Linked DNA regions of Drosophila melanogaster. Changing the gene in region 1 together with any one later gene gives a genetic interaction. Each region holds a gene or a part of one and is shown on either strand. Other genes may lie near its edges.

What was found.
Region 2: of lola (region 1) and for, changing one suppresses a phenotype caused by changing the other (phenotypic suppression), as found in Drosophila melanogaster (one study listed by BioGRID).

Annotation. Positions count from the first base shown.
Region 1 is NT_033778.4:10,536,424-10,545,011, forward strand, and holds the start of lola (longitudinals lacking), read right to left. Parts: upstream 6,869-8,588; 5' UTR 6,482-6,868; intron 5,573-6,481; exon of another isoform or gene 5,418-5,572; intron 5,351-5,417; exon of another isoform or gene 4,922-5,350; intron 848-4,921; exon of another isoform or gene 712-847; intron 698-711; exon of another isoform or gene 527-697; intron 483-526; exon of another isoform or gene 322-482; intron 238-321; exon of another isoform or gene 72-237; intron 1-71. UniProt on the Drosophila melanogaster protein: Putative transcription factor required for axon growth and guidance in the central and peripheral nervous systems. Repels CNS axons away from the midline by promoting the expression of the midline repellent sli and its receptor robo.
Region 2 is NT_033779.5:3,651,503-3,660,162, forward strand, and holds the start of for (foraging), read right to left. Parts: upstream 5,452-8,660; 5' UTR 5,220-5,451; exon of another isoform or gene 5,206-5,219; intron 4,084-5,205; 5' UTR 3,768-4,083; intron 1-3,767.

The DNA.
Region 1 (8,588 bases):
ACCCACAAATGATGTACTATAAATGGGGGTGGAGTAATGAGCACTTGGTGATTGGAGACCAAGACAAGAGACTGAGAGACTGTGTTGAGGTCTACTATCAAACGATGTCCAAAACTGTGTTTTACGGAGCATTGTTAGCGAAAATCTCAACTGGGTTTTCATCTGGCAACTGCATTCGAAAATGTCTGGCAAAAATAAGTCCAAGACACTGTGTAACTGCTGTTGCATATCGCTAATATGTTGAACAAGAGCTTGAGATCACGATTCTTGTTTAAAACATATTATAATAATTATAATTTTCAATGCTCTAAAAACTTTCAATATACGAGAAATTCTGTGCTGAGATCTACTATCAAACTACGTTCAAAATTTGCACTTTACGAAACGTTGTTAGCGAAAAACTCAACAGGACTTTGGTTTAGCAACCGCCAGGATTGTTTGGAGAATATTTAATGCATTTTCCACACGTTTTATGGGCGAGCTGCTGCTTCTAACAAATAACATTTTAAATCATTTAAAAAAGAATTTAAAAAAGAATTTATCTTGTGATGAGATCTACTATCAAACTACGTTCAAAATTTGTTACATTACGAAACGTTGTTAGCGAAAAACTCATCTAATATTTGTTTTAGCAACTGCTGGATCGCAAATAGAACGAATAGTTCGTTTCACACTTTTTATAAGCTAGTTGCTTCATATTTCCTTGTGTTGAGATCTACTATCAAACTACGTTCAAAATTTTCATTTTACGAAACGTTGTTAGCGAAAAACTCAACTTGTTTTAATATTGCAACCGCTGTAGTACGAAAAACTAATGTTATATTTTTCGCAATTTGATTGGGTTGCTGCTTTAATTATCGGCGATCAATGTCAGATGTCAGATTAATGGGTTTTTTTTCTGCAGCATGTAGCGTAAGTTTCTATGTAAGCGCAGATCGGTTTACAATGAATTAAGATTGGAATGGGTACCAGAGATTAGCATTTCCATCCTTTTGTCGTAAACTTGTTTTAGAATTCAGCCATTTGGCTTGGCCCAGCTAGGCTTCATTAATTCTTGCCTCCATGCCAACAGACTTTTCGAGTGCCAGATGGAAATGAAAATGGGATGCGGCGATGTCGGGTGGGATGGGGAGCGGGATAATAATAATATAAAGGATGTCGGGCGATAGCGGTCCCCTTTTTCTAAGCACGCGCCAGACGGCAAAAGGTGAGCCACGGGGAGAACCGAAGCAGACCGGTTTACGCTAAGTTAGGAGAAGGATGAGGGAGAGGGTCCTGTAGGCCGGTCCCGGCCTTTTTTGGGGTTGCAATCAACCCCTAAACTAAGCCGATCCCCCCTCTCCTGATTATGTTCGCTTGTGTATATGCAGTCATAGTCTCCCTTCCTCCCTCCATTTTGCCGCGTCCTGCCGGCCGGCAGATGTTGGATCACAACTGTCGTCCCTTGCGTTTGGGCACACAGGAAGTGCCGCCAAAGTCTGGAGCCCGAGCCCTCCACTGTTTTAGAGTAATGAAAATTCTTGGCCAGCGCCAGAGAGATGGAGAGAGCGCTCTGAACTTGGAAACCATAATGGGGCTGGTTTCAAGACTTCTGTTCTGGGTAGTATGTGTGTAAGTTGTGTGTCTGTGTATGGGTGTTTGTGTGTGCAAAAGTCAAAAGAAAAACCGGTTCGACAGAATGTACAAGAACTGTGCCATTTCGAAAAAACGAAACGGAGGAGCGGGTGGTCGCCCCGTTCTCGGCTGGCAAGTCGAGTTTTGTTTGTTGGTTTAGAGATCCGAGATCCGATCCGATCACTTGGCAGAAAAACCAGTTTAAGAAACTCATTTCATTTCATTTCACATCGCTGCCAGAAAAATCGCCAACACACACACACGCGCACACACACATACACACACTGGGCAGCCGCCAGAAAAACAAATTTAAAATGGAAATAACTTAAGAATAAGAAAGAGGGGGGAGGAGGAAGCGGGAGAGAGCGAGGAAAAAAAGAGTGAGTGGAGGCCAAGAACAAATATAAAACTTCCCCCACAAGATTTGCATAAAGTGGAATCTTTTTTCTGCTCGAACGCATACACACACGCCACATAGACATGTGTGTGCTGCGTTTGTGAGACATAAAATTTGTATATTTACGACGTAAAAATAAACTCGACGACGACTCGACTTCTCGCACTGACTTTCAATAATTTAATTTCTGGCAGCTGAAAATGTTGCTGAATAGCAACGCAGAAACACACACACACACACCATTGAAACTCTGGCGGCTCGAAGCCCAAAAAACGCAAAACTGGGGGAAAAAACACCTCTGAAAACCCACGTATGTAGGCGTCCGTCGTCTGTCGCTCATTTTATTTATTTTTACACCCTTTTAGCCCGTCGCCTTTCTTGTTCTTCACATTGCACATTTAGCAGCAAACAGGCTTGCAAGCAAAGATTGAGAAAAGCCAAGTCAAGTGTGCCAGCCATTCTGAGTCGAGCTGGTAGGTAGTAAACCACGCAAAATACGATTAGTTATTATAATTTCATAGAAAGAAGCTACGTTTTTTGCCAGCTGGATCGCAGTTGTTTTCCATGTAAGTCACATGTTGGTTCCTAAACGCATTGTTCATCATATAGCATATCTATCAGAAATAGTGTATTACTAAAAGATCGTGTGATCAAAGTTCTTGCAACCTTTATACATAATATTTACGAATAACGATAATTTGCATCTGAGAGTTGAAACATATCATTTTCCATTTCCACGCTTCTTTCTTTTTTTTACTTTTCCGCTTCGCTCGCTTCTGTTCGGCCGCAGAAAATGTCGTTTTGCCATTAAAGCAGCGAAAAATGTATAACAACAACAAAAAAAAAAAAAAAAAAAAAAAAAAACGTCAACCACAAAAACTTGTTTTCTCGAAAAGCTATTTAAAGTGAATGTTAAGGGCTTGTTATGCGCGAATGTATCTGTATCTGTAAATGTATCTCAGAGTATTGTATTGTACATTTGCGTGGGAGCGGAGGAAGTCGATGCTTTAGGTTTTCGTGGGGCTATCCATATCTATCATGGGCACCGATGGAGATCTGTCCCGCCGATGATGTCGATTATTCTTCTTTTCTAGATCTCTAGGGCTTTGTTGGTTTTTCTTGAGATTTCTTTGAAGGGCATTATCTACAACTGCCAGTTATGCAAGTTAACGATAAAAAGCAGATCCATTTCTCAATGGTTATCGAACAGTTATGTTACAAGCTAATACTTCAATTTATTTATGACCTATGACACTTAACTATCAACATTAAATCAAATTCAATTTAAGACTTTCCTAATGAAACCAACTACTAGAAACACCTCCTTTAAAGTGCCATATTAGTTTTATAATTTGGATATAGCCACACAAAAACTTGTTAAATACACTGGCCAGTTCAAGTGAAAGTGAAAAAAGTGAGCCACCGAAAATAATCAACAATAAACCGTAAAATAAAACGCAGAAAAGTTCAATGAACTTTTTTGCTAATGGCCACAAAGCGAATAAGTAAATCAAAACTAACAAAAATAAAAGTCGGCCAAAGAGCAGGTTGCGATAACGGCCGCTCATTATTTTTCCCCGCCTTCGTTTTATTTTTTCTATATTTTTGCTGTTTACTGTAAGACAAGAACATTAAGAATAGTGGATAATAGAAAAGTGCGACACATATTAAACTTTTTTTGCACGTGCGTGTGTAGGTCAGAAATTCGATGCAAGGTCATGGTGTTTTAAAAGGAAAAAAAGTTGATGACTTGAAAGAAGTGTACAAGTTTAAATTGTAAACAAAGAATTAAGGCAAGAAACCAAAGAGAAAAATACAGTTTTTGCTTTTCTACACTTGTTGCGCAAAAGCTTTTTTATATCTCATTTATTATTGTTATTATTCTGCACATGTGCGTAGAATGTAAACAAATGAAACTTTTGCAAAAGTCACAAGTGAAATTTAGCAACGTCGCGCAGTCCCATAAAAAAGATTAGGCGACACGAAAATATGAAAAATGGAAATGTGTAAACGTGTCGAAAAGAAAACAACAAAAGCGGCGTAGCAGAAGTGTAGCACAAAGTGGAAACAAAAATATGTGGCGACTGTTCTCTCTCTCCCTTCCTCATCATCCTCCTTGCCTCATGCTGAGCCGTCTGGTTCTCCCACTTTTCTAAGTGTGTGTGAAAAGTGCAGAGAGAAAATTTCACGCTTGTTGTTTTTGTTTTTCGTGAACAAACATAAAAACTGACGAGGGAGTATGACAAAATGAGCGGGAGAGAAAGAAAAGGGGAGCCAAAAGAGCGAGAGAGCCTAGCATTGAACAAAATATTTTATGTGTGGGGGAAAAACCAAGATGGCGGCCACCAAGACTTTGGGAATCTATCGAAATGAAAAACGTGCTTTTTTGTAGGAGTTTATAATAGAAAGCAATTAATTGAACTCGCTCTTGGCAATCTTCGTGTTTACTAATCATAGTTTTTTTTATCAAGCTTTCCCTCGTCGCAATCGGTAATGAAAAGCTTATATAACTTTCCTACTCGCGCACACATACACGTGTACTTGTAGAAAACATTTCCCACTGCAACACTTGACCTCATTTGCATGGAAAGTGAGCCACTGGCAGTGTGTGCGTGTGTGAAAATTAATGAAAACCGCCCGTCATTTACTTCAGCGTTGCATTTTGTGGGAAAGCTCTCCCTCTCCTGCTCTGTCTGTGCCTGTCTCTTTTCGTACATTGGTGAAAAGCTTTCTCCCGTGAAGTGAGCATAGGGAAAAATCGATAGAAACACCACTGGAAGTATCGATTCGATATGCAAAAACACACACAATCTCAGGCAGATAATTGCCAGGTACAGTTCAAATGCAAGTTCTTATTGTATATTATTAAGCGGTACTTTAAAACATTATTGATCAATTTTATATACACACCGAAATAGAATCACAGGCAGCACGTAGTCGTCAATAAACTTTGCACATATCAAATTTTGGTGTTGCTTTTCCAATCCATATATGTATATATATAGTAAAATATATATAATACTAATACACACACACACGATAACGCGACGGGGGGAAAAGCAATAAAGTTGAATTTATTTTTACTGTATGTGATGGGGCCCTGTATGCATGTGTATGTATTTTCCTTTCCCGCTGCCGTGGAGAGCAGAAAGAAAAGAGTAGGCAGCAGCAACAACGCACCACACACTGAAAATTGCGGACGCGCGAAGCCACTGAAGAAAAACTGACGACTGACGCGACTTTCCGCTGGTGCTCGAAAAAACGAAAGGTTCCCATAAGCAGAGACCCCGAAGAGCGCCGAGAGAGTTGGAAACGAAGCCGAAGCGAAACCCGAAGAGTGTGAGTGCGAATGAGAGTGTGAGTTCGAAAAATAAGTTGACGTCGCCTGTTTGCCACCCCTCTTCAGACGTGTGCTTTTTGTATGCTTGGCGCACAGAGTTGCCAATTCACGACAAAAGATCGACAAATTAGGATGATGCAGAAGGAGGACACGCTTTTCATTATCTGGTTGCCACCTAATTTAAGTTCCACATCAAGGAAGAAGGAAATACGTTTCCAACGGACGTCAAATTTACTAACTACACTACTTGAAAAGCCTGTCTATAAAAACACGATAACGTTTTTGCTAATCTCAAGACAATGTTAAATATAATTGGAGAAAGTATTGAATATGAATATCACAAAAATTGTTTAGGGTCTCTACGTGGTAAATAGTATTTGGCATAGACAGTGAGATGTGAGTCGTACGTACTAATTAATAAAGTTGTTCAATAGAACCTCATATACTGTAAGTGACAACGAACGAGGCTGACAACTCTGCTTGCACATATTTGGCGGAGTTCGAAAATATCATTCGCATTGGTATTGTTTTTGTTTTCCACCATGGGGCGAGATTTTGTTGTTGCTTTAGCTTTGCTTGTTTTTTTCGCAGCAAAGCGAAGCCATAATGTTCGAAATGGTAAAATTACCGTTGCCGAGCAAGCTCTCTCTCTCCCCCACTCCGACACCTCTCTCCATCTCTCGTTGCAGTTGTTTAAGGGTGTGCGAGGGAGATGAAAGATGGTCTCGGCTTGTGTGTGCAATGCATTTCCCACTAAAAAGCGCAAATTATATTTTGTGCACTCTCCAAACGTTTTTATGATCGGCGTTGATTTATTTTTGGCTTCCAGCATGACTTCATCGCCGCGCGTTTTCTCTCTAATTTCGGTGTACAAATTATGTGTACCTAAATATGTACCTTAATTTTTAACGGTTTCATCGGGTTTTCAGCTGGAAAATTAACATTTCTGTGCGAAATTCTACACGCATGCCAAATGTTCTAACCAATACTAATTGATGCGAGGAGTGTCGTTTCTGTGGCAAAATCATAAATTCTACAGATCTTTTCGACGGCTACAGTGTGCATATGAAAGGTGAACGTATAGAGATGATGGTCCCCGCATAACATCACGTCGATTGACAATCGCTCACCTGAATTTCCATTGGAGTTTTCATGGCAACTCGGTCACGTTCCCTCTTTCTCACTCCCTCTCTCTCTTTCCCACACGTTGCACAGGAGAGGGGGCGCAAACACTCACAAACACCTATAAATTATTATATATTTCGTCTTTTTGCATTTGCAGTTGAACTTTAATTACAACAAATTATGCACTCGACACAAAAACGTATTTAACATCACATAGTTTTTTCCGTGGGTGTTTTTCCAATCGGTGCTCCGCTTGAATTTATGCAATCCGCACTGTTTTTTAGACTACTAACAATTTATCCTGATTTTTTATGTGGGTGGAAAAGCAACGAGAATTTAACGAGCGGAGCGACGACGATTTTATTCCTGAGAGTTGCCGTTTGTTACTGAAAAATCGCTGCAAAAAAGTTCGAATAAAAGTCGAAAAAAGAAATAGGCTTTGCGTGTGTGTGTGAGCACGAAGTTTTTGCTTTTGTTGTTCTTTCTGCTGCATTCGAAAAACCGAAGATCGTTCGTGCGCTAGAACAAGTGAGTGCGAGCGAGATGGGGACACTCCACGATACAGTTGATTGCTTTTTGCAACTGTCTCGTTGGAAAAAAGCGTTTTGCGCGGGAATTGAGGGGAAGAAAAGAAAGAAGAAGAAGGGGTTGTGGCAAAAGGAAGTCGCGCTAAATGAAAAGGCAAAGAAAATGTGTTTTTTTTTTGCTTAGCACATAAGGAAATATGGCACATGGAGTTCTATGTAAAAAGCTATGTATTTAGATCGTCAAATAAAACGTGGAATTTGTGGGAAACACTTTTATAATACTTTTTGTATGTATAAGAGTTATAATAAGCATAATGAGAGCATGGCATAATACGAGATTTAAGCCACATGATGTACTATGTACATATGTACATAGAAATGTGTGTATGTACATACATAACATAATTTTTAACGAATTCTTATAAACCAAGTGGAAATGTTTCTAAAAAATTATGAAATGTCAAGGTCATACATAATTTACAATGTAGGTTCTACAATTTTTAGAGATTACAAAGCAGTGAGGAACATACTTATGTACATACATTTATGTAATATTTACATAAGTACATAAATATTTATGTGATTATAAATTTATATACATATACATATATGAAAGAATATATACATTCATATATACACAGTTTTTTTTAAGAAGCTTACACGGCAACTGAAATGATCTCACCATGCAGATGCAGAACTTAAAATTTGTAAATGTACATAAAAAGCTAATTTAGGTAATTTTACTACAAATAAAATAAATGCTATTAGCGCTGAAGAAGATAATTCACCAGACACCTGTCATTATTTTTTGCGAGGCAATTAAAATTCCCGACTGGGGAAGTAGAAAGGTGTCAAGAAAAGATTAAACTTTCAATTTATGGATCCACTCTTTTTTTTTGCATTTTGCCATTTTGCATATCTGTTTGTTTTGCCAATTGCTACTTTCTAATAAAATCGTCAATGTTCACGGCACACATTCGTATAAATCTTTGGTCGTTTTTTACCACCGCCTTGCATTAGCAATTGCCAAAACTTGATTTTGATGCTTAAATATAACTGATTACTTGATTTGAGCAAATATATGTACACATGCATGTACATATAAAAAAGTCAGCACAAGATCATAATTACACGAAAAACAAGAACAACAATAATGCTGTTACACGGTGAGAAATACATATGTGTTATGATTAACTAAAGTCAGTAAGCATATTTTTACTGGAATGTAGAATTTAAATTCATTTATGAAACTACATTTTTGCTAATATGCATATAATTTCTAACTGATTTCTAACTCAATTGGCACATTACAATGCCTTGAGAGCAAACGTAAGATTTGGAAAAGTGTTTTGACCGATCTATTACTAATATTTTCTTGCAGTGTAGCGCTGTCGGCGTCGACGCCCGCGCAGCAGCTTAAAAAAGCTGCGCTCAAAGAAATTAACAATAAAAGTTGGAAATTTTGTTCAACGCTTTTTGTTTATTTTTTAATGTTTTTGTGTTGTTGTTGTTGGCTCTTGAATGACGAAGAAAATATTCGCCGAGGGAAAGAAGAAGCAGAGGAACCAGAGTTCCAAAACTCGTT
Region 2 (8,660 bases), on another chromosome or scaffold:
GCATAAAAATAATTTTCGTTTATGGCATGAGAGGTTTGGCCATATAAGCGATGGCAAATTATTAGAAATAAAACGAAAGAATATGTTTAGTGATCAAAGTCTTCTAAACAACTTAGAGTTATCATGTGAAATTTGTGAACCCTGTTTAAATGGTAAACAGGCAAGACTTCCTTTTAAACAATTGAAAGATAAGACCCATATTAAAAGACCACTTTTTGTAGTACACTCAGATGTCTGTGGGCCTATTACTCCAGTTACTTTAGATGATAAAAATTATTTTGTGATCTTTGTTGATCAGTTTACACATTATTGTGTAACTTATTTAATTAAATATAAATCTGATGTGTTTAGCATGTTTCAAGATTTTGTAGCCAAGAGTGAAGCTCATTTTAATTTAAAGGTTGTGTACTTATACATTGACAATGGTAGAGAATACTTGTCAAATGAGATGAGACAATTTTGTGTTAAGAAAGGAATTTCTTATCACTTAACAGTGCCACATACACCTCAGTTAAATGGTGTTTCTGAGAGAATGATAAGAACCATTACGGAAAAAGCTCGAACCATGGTTAGTGGTGCAAAGCTAGATAAAAGCTTTTGGGGCGAAGCAGTATTAACTGCTACTTATTTAATCAACAGAATTCCTAGTAGAGCACTTGTTGATAGTTCAAAGACCCCATATGAGATGTGGCACAATAAGAAGCCATACTTAAAACATTTGAGAGTGTTTGGTGCAACTGTTTATGTGCATATTAAAAACAAACAAGGAAAGTTTGATGATAAATCATTTAAAAGTATTTTTGTGGGCTATGAACCCAATGGTTTTAAGTTGTGGGATGCTGTAAATGAAAAATTTATTGTCGCAAGAGATGTTGTTGTCGATGAAACCAATATGGTTAATTCTAGAGCTGTTAAATTTGAAACAGTGTTCCTGAAAGATAGTAAGGAAAGTGAAAATAAAAATTTTCCGAATGACAGTAGGAAAATAATACAAACAGAGTTCCCGAATGAGAGTAAGGAATGCGACAACATACAATTCCTGAAAGATAGTAAGGAAAGTGAAAATAAAAATTTTCCGAATGACAGTAGGAAAATAATACAAACAGAATTCCCGAATGAGAGTAAGGAATGCGACAACATACAATTCCTGAAAGATAGTAAGGAAAGTAATAAATATTTTCTGAATGAGAGTAAGAAAAGAAAGCGAGATGATCACCTGAATGAAAGTAAGGGATCAGGCAACCCGAATGAGAGTAGGGAAAGTGAAACAGCAGAGCACTTAAAAGAAATTGGAATTGATAATCCAACTAAAAATGATGGCATAGAAATTATTAATAGAAGAAGTGAGAGATTAAAGACTAAGCCTCAGATATCCTATAATGAAGAGGATAATAGTCTAAATAAAGTTGTTCTAAATGCTCACACTATATTTAACGATGTCCCAAATTCATTTGATGAAATTCAATATAGGGATGATAAATCTTCTTGGGAAGAAGCCATCAATACAGAGTTAAATGCTCATAAAATTAATAATACTTGGACAATTACAAAAAGGCCTGAAAACAAAAATATTGTAGATAGCAGATGGGTATTTTCTGTTAAATATAATGAACTTGGAAATCCAATTAGATACAAAGCTAGATTGGTTGCACGAGGATTCACTCAAAAATACCAAATAGACTATGAAGAGACATTTGCTCCTGTAGCTAGAATTTCAAGTTTCCGATTTATATTGTCATTAGTAATACAGTATAACTTGAAAGTCCATCAAATGGATGTAAAAACAGCTTTCTTAAATGGCACGTTAAAAGAGGAAATTTATATGAGACTTCCTCAAGGTATATCGTGTAATAGTGACAATGTGTGTAAATTGAATAAGGCAATTTACGGACTCAAGCAAGCGGCTAGATGCTGGTTTGAAGTATTTGAGCAAGCATTGAAAGAGTGTGAGTTTGTAAACTCTTCAGTTGATCGCTGTATATATATTTTAGACAAAGGTAACATCAATGAAAACATATATGTATTATTATATGTAGATGATGTGGTTATAGCTACAGGAGATATGACAAGAATGAATAACTTCAAAAGGTATTTAATGGAAAAGTTTAGGATGACTGACCTAAATGAAATAAAACATTTTATTGGAATTAGGATAGAGATGCAGGAAGATAAAATCTATTTAAGCCAATCTGCATATGTTAAAAAAATTTTAAGTAAATTTAACATGGAAAATTGTAATGCAGTTAGTACTCCTTTACCTAGTAAAATAAATTATGAATTACTTAATTCAGATGAAGACTGCAATACCCCATGCCGTAGCCTCATAGGATGTTTAATGTACATAATGCTTTGTACACGCCCAGATTTAACTACTGCAGTAAATATCTTGAGCAGATATAGTAGCAAAAATAACTCCGAATTATGGCAGAACTTAAAAAGAGTTCTTAGATATTTGAAGGGCACTATCGATATGAAATTGATTTTTAAAAAGAACTTGGCATTTGAAAATAAAATTATTGGTTATGTGGATTCTGATTGGGCTGGTAGTGAAATTGATAGAAAAAGTACAACAGGGTATTTATTCAAAATGTTTGATTTTAATCTCATTTGTTGGAATACAAAGAGACAGAACTCAGTAGCAGCCTCATCAACTGAAGCTGAGTATATGGCCCTATTTGAAGCCGTGAGAGAAGCTCTATGGCTTAAATTTTTATTAACTAGTATTAACATTAAACTAGAAAACCCCATTAAAATTTACGAAGACAATCAAGGCTGTATTAGCATAGCAAACAATCCCTCATGTCATAAACGAGCTAAACATATTGATATTAAATATCATTTTGCCAGAGAGCAAGTTCAGAATAATGTGATTTGTCTTGAGTATATTCCTACAGAGAATCAACTGGCTGACATATTTACAAAACCGTTGCCTGCTGCGAGATTTGTGGAGTTACGAGACAAATTGGGTTTGCTGCAAGACGACCAATCGAATGCTGAATGAAATTTTTATATATATTTTTCAAATTTAAATTCCTGTAAACATATTTTGTTACAATGATCTGATCGGGTTTTTCTGGGTTTTCCCCGTATCCTCGCAGCAAATGCTGGATCAGTTAACACTTCCCAGAATGCACACCACCCACATTTGATAGTTACTAATGAATATTATTGTTATGTTTTTAATTATAGACGTTATTTTTGAGGGGGCGTGTTGGAATATACTATTCAACCTACAAAAATAACGTTAAACAACACTACTTTATATTTGATATGAATGGCCACACCTTTTATGCCATAAAACATATTGTAAGAGAATACCACTCTTTTTATTCCTTCTTTCCTTCTTGTACGTTTTTTGCTGTGAGTAGGTCGTGGTGCTGGTGTTGCAGTTGAAATAACTTAAAATATAAATCATAAAACTCAAACATAAACTTGACTATTTATTTATTTATTAAGAAAGGAAATATAAATTATAAATTACAACAATCACTTTCGGCTCTAAGGCGGAGAAAAGGGCTTAAAGACCCTGAGCCTTAATTGTTTATTCAAAGCACGGACCAGAAAAAGACAGCACTGGAGCAGTCGAAAGAGATGGGTATATAGACAAAAGGGCGCCTTGGCGAAAAAAAAAATTATTCAAAGGCCGAACGATTGTGCAATCACAAAGTTCGTAGGCGGCATAAATCCATAAATAAACAATAAGTATGAATAAATAAGTTGCTGTTCGACAACAGCGAACAGTAATTGCATATTAAAATGGAGCTTACATGTTGGACGAAAAGTGAAGAAATTCCAGGGTCGATGTAAATGTTATGGTTCCAGTCGCAGAGAATCGCTCTCTTTTCTTCTTGTTGTTGCGATCAGCCGGCTTTTGCGAAGAAAGTTTCTTCGTTTCCACTTGTTGATTTGTGATCGGCTGTCTCGCTCGCGCACTCTTCAGTTTCCTCGTTAATTCACAGGAAGCACAGAATTAAGGCCGAAAATATATTTATAAATGAAATGCAGGCGGCACACGAAACTTCGCCATCAATTTAGACGGCCTGCACTTTTGTTTTCTCGAGTCTTTCCACTTGCGTTGCGTTTCTATGAAATTGGGCATTAAAATTTAAATGCTATTAGCCACAGAACACGAACACGAAAGATTGGGAAATGAAATGAAGGAGAGAGAGTGAGAGAGAGTTCTCTCACTCGTCGCTGTTATTGTTATCACCTGAGTCGAATACAGTGGGACCCCCACTTGAAGATGCAAACAAGACTGAGCTTTTACCAATAGTATTCAATAGTTCACTGATATCGATTAAATAATTTTAAAACTTTTGATCAACATTGCTGATTAACGCTTATTGGATTTAAGAACATTCGATTTGTTAATACTTGTGATCTGGCTTAATATGATAATTTAAGTCGAGCCCCACTGTACTCTTTCTCGCGGATTTTATCGCTCACTCTTTTTGTTTTCAGTTCACTCTCTCTCGCTCCGCATAGTTTGACTTGTTGTTGTTTCTGCCAGCGTAGCGTAGTTAACTTGAGCGGCAGCAACAACAACATCAGCCATACTTGTTGCTAAAAATAGTAGCGGCGGCGAGACAGAAACAGAAAACAGAAAAACAGCGCGGCAGAATAAAATATGAAAAGGCGCACAAATTGGAAAAAATTGTACATGACGAGCAACAAAAACAAGCAGCAAGTAACAAAAAGGAGGAGGAGTAGTTACAACAACAACTGAGCTTCTGTTGAAATATATCAGAGAAAAGAAAGGCAAAGAGGCAGATCGGCGTAGAAAGGAAATGCGACGCAAAACTGCAGTCAAAGAATTAGTTGGAATGATGGACTGAAAAGTGTCAAGTTTAGCACGGAAAATTCGTCAGCTGAAGTGCGAAAGAGACAGAGCGAACGAGCAGCTAACAAGTGATTTTCCATGAAATTAATTGCAGACTGCATTTGAATTAATAATTTTCCACTTTGAAATCACAAACTAAAAGAGAGCCGCTCTCTCTTCCACTCTCTTCGCTTAATGCACCAAAACTGCATTCACAATTCACGTTTTACTAATATTTAGTCAACTTTAACCACTGCCTTTGCTTTAATTGCTTTTTAAGGCAAATAGTTGCACATATGGAAAACGCTAGTTGTTGTTTTATTTTAGAATTCAGAATTGAGCACAAATGCTAGATCGTACGACTAGCGAAAGCAGCAACAACTAACCAAGTGGCACGCACACACAAGCACAAGTCGATGAAAAACCACCGAACTAAATGGCGATGTGGATTATTCTGATAAACGCCAATGCCATATATATATATATTTTTTTTCTTTTATTAAGAACTTGTGCCAAAATTTGCAGGAAAACCACGCGTTGCATTGATTCTTATAAAAATGCCGCTAAAGTCAATTCCAAGCACGATCGCGACAAATGACAACCGCACAGCACGAGAAATTCCAACAGACTGAAAATGAAACAAACAACTTACTCGCTACCACTACTCGAATATTATGAAATAAAGAGCACATTAGCATTTTTTCTCTTAATTTTTAAAAAATTATTTTCTCTTCTGATGCAATGTTATGAATTAGCGTTGAGATAGAAAAAAAAAATTTAAAACAATATTATGCTCAATCCTTTCTACAAATTAATTACTTTAATCAAATAACAAAATATTCATATTAATAAAAGTGTACTTTGTTTGTTAACGTAAATATACTATGTGAAAGGAGTAGATTTAGTAGAGTAGTAGAATTTATAATATTTTCCCTGCTAGTTCTCTCAGAGATGATGTATCAGTTTGATTTTAATAATCATTCCGAATGAAATCATCATTGAAGTTGGTCAAGATCGGTCTTAAATTAATCTAGTATTATAAATTGCCAATGCAGGATTAACTCTGCGCCATGATTTATTCAACTTTTCTCGTATACTTTTGGAACTAACAGCACACAACGCCTATCCGTTTACGACAAATGGTGTTTGTTTTTGGAACTAATACAGCGCCATTTTTCATTTTAGTGATTTCTAACTTACGTTGTACGTTACATTTCAGATTTATTATGCATGTAAGATGTAGAATGTCATAGCAACTGGCCGTCATGTATGTAAATATGTGTATGTATAGGCATTTCAGAGCCATTTTCTGCTCATATGTAGGGGTGGAGCCTGAGAAGAGAGAAAATCCCAAAAGGGGAATAAGAAACTGGGAAATTTTACTATTTAACTCGTTTCGTAAGAGGGTATACTAGATTTGTTAAGAAGTATATAACAGGTAGAATGAATTTTCCGATCTTTTATGGTACATAAAAAGACATTTTTTGAAACATGTTGAAAATTCAAAATTTTTTAATTAAACATAAATGTTTAAGTGGAATAAGTAACATATTGTAAAAATTATTTATTAATTTTAACCGTTATTTATGTACAATTTCGTAAGGTTAGAAAAATCCAAGGATCTTTGGTCGGGAATTTCCCTCAAGAAGGCGTTGCAAACTTAAGACCACCCACCCCCAGTATTGTGCCACCCCTCCCCAACTTCGCAACCCTCTTTTCACCCCTCTGCCGCTCTCGCAGTCGACGTCGCCGGGAAGGAAGGAAAGAGATAGCAGCTGGGAGAAAGGACAAAAGGAGAAACGGGTCGGTGGAAAAGGAGGAGGAGAAAGTAGAGGAAAAGTGAGGCGGCAGCAAAAGTTGATTAGATGGATTTCGTTTGGTTTTTGTGTTTTTAATCACACACCAATTTCATTTATTAAATCTTCGCATCAGCATTTCATTTCTCGCATTCCCTATCTTTCTCTTTCCCTCCTTCTGTCTCTTTCGCTTGTGCAGTGCCTTTTTTGTTTGGCTTTGCGACGGCATTTTTGTATTTTCTGTACCGTAGTGTTTGCTCGTTTGGCCTTCTCTTTTCTCTCGCACTCCTGTTTGTTTGTTTGTTGTTTTCCCGTTCACTCATTGTCACGAGCAATTTCACTCTCTCTCCACACCCCACCACCCCCGTCTCTGCCCATCTTTTGGCCCAGGCAAAACTTTTTGCAAAATGAAATTGTTTTCGTATTAACAATTTCATTAAAATTAAATTACTTTTATTATTCCGACAGAATCAGACAAACGAAAGGAGAAAAAAGCCAGCCTCCCCTGCCGCCCCCTCACCCCTTTCAGCCATTTTGGCCCCCCATTCTACCCCCTTATTGTAAATAAGCCAAAAGCTTGGCGTCTGTTTTCTTCAGCTGTCAAACAAATTAATTGCGCTTTTAATTAATTTCGTTGGCTTTTAGAGTGGAAAGATGTGATCTTATAATATATAATATACTAAAAGCTAAATTGTTTAACAAAATTGTTACCCTTTCTTCGAAAAAACACTTATTTCTTGCAATAAAAAAAGAGCCAAATAATGTTCGTCGTAAATAAGAAATTCACCACTTATGTACAGCCGTATGATAAATAAAATATCCTAAATGCGATACCGCATTTCCCAATAAATAACATTGAATAAACGCCATTCCGCATACTTTTGGGCCGCAGCTCCTTTCACTCTAATTCTGTTTAGCCATTTATTTTATTTAGGCATTTCATAGAACGATTACCATGCCACTCCGCCTTTTCTTCCAAATTGTTGTATTCCCAAATTGTAGTCGAAGACATGCCTCCAAATGGATTCCGTGGAAGCCGTTTTGCCTCTTTTAGCCAAATGATGCGTAGGCCATAAAACCGAAAGGCCAACGATGGAGTCTTGGCCATTTGCTTAGGCGCTGGGCGTGGCTCCAGCCCCATACTCACCCAATAATAAATATACACTGACAGATTTGTGTTTAATACTTAAGCGAATTTATAATTTAATATTTACCTTTAAACTTAACATGCAAGTTATTTTAAAGCTCGAAAACATTTTAATATTTTTGGAGTTGTTTTAAATATTTTTAATATTATATAACTTGAAGTGCACTATTTTCCTTTGTGCCTGAAACAATTTTTGATGGCGCCCATAAATTTTCGAGGCTCTTTTCAAGCCTACGAATGCGAGTTGAAATGTCGCATCATAAATAAACGGGCATCGTTTTCAGGAGTCAGGTGATGAAGGCATCGGAATGCCGATAAAAAAGTGGTAAGGGTTGGTTTTTGCCAATGGGAAGTGGCCTCCAAATAAACCGCAATGCAATTTGGTCCAAAAGAAGTTAATAAAATTTCGACAAGCGGAAAGGGGACTTCCGTTGATATTTCATGAGTTTCCTGGGTAGACTGATGCTTATGAGATCAATGGCGTAGGCAATATTAAAAAGGGGTTTTAATAAGATCTTTTCTCAACTTTAAGTTACCTTTCATATTTCTGGTTCATATGCTTCAGCATCTCGATGAGGTCTGAAATGGTTATTAATTGCCCCAAAACCTTTGCCACCTGCCGTCTCGCTTCCCCATTTCGCGCTGTCCCTTTCGGGCGGCTATTCATTTTCGGAGGCTGCGCCATTTTGGCTTGGAAAATTTATAAACGTAATTGAGATGCCTTCGCCGCAGCGCATTTTCCCCACCCAGCACTTCCCAACACCCCCCTTATTTCTCGCCACCCAACTGGCCGCACGTAAAATGCATTAACTGCTGCTTCTGGCCTCGTCCTGGTCCCGGATCAGGATCCGTATCCGGATCCGGTTACAGTTACGGGTTTTCACTCCTGGCAAAAGTC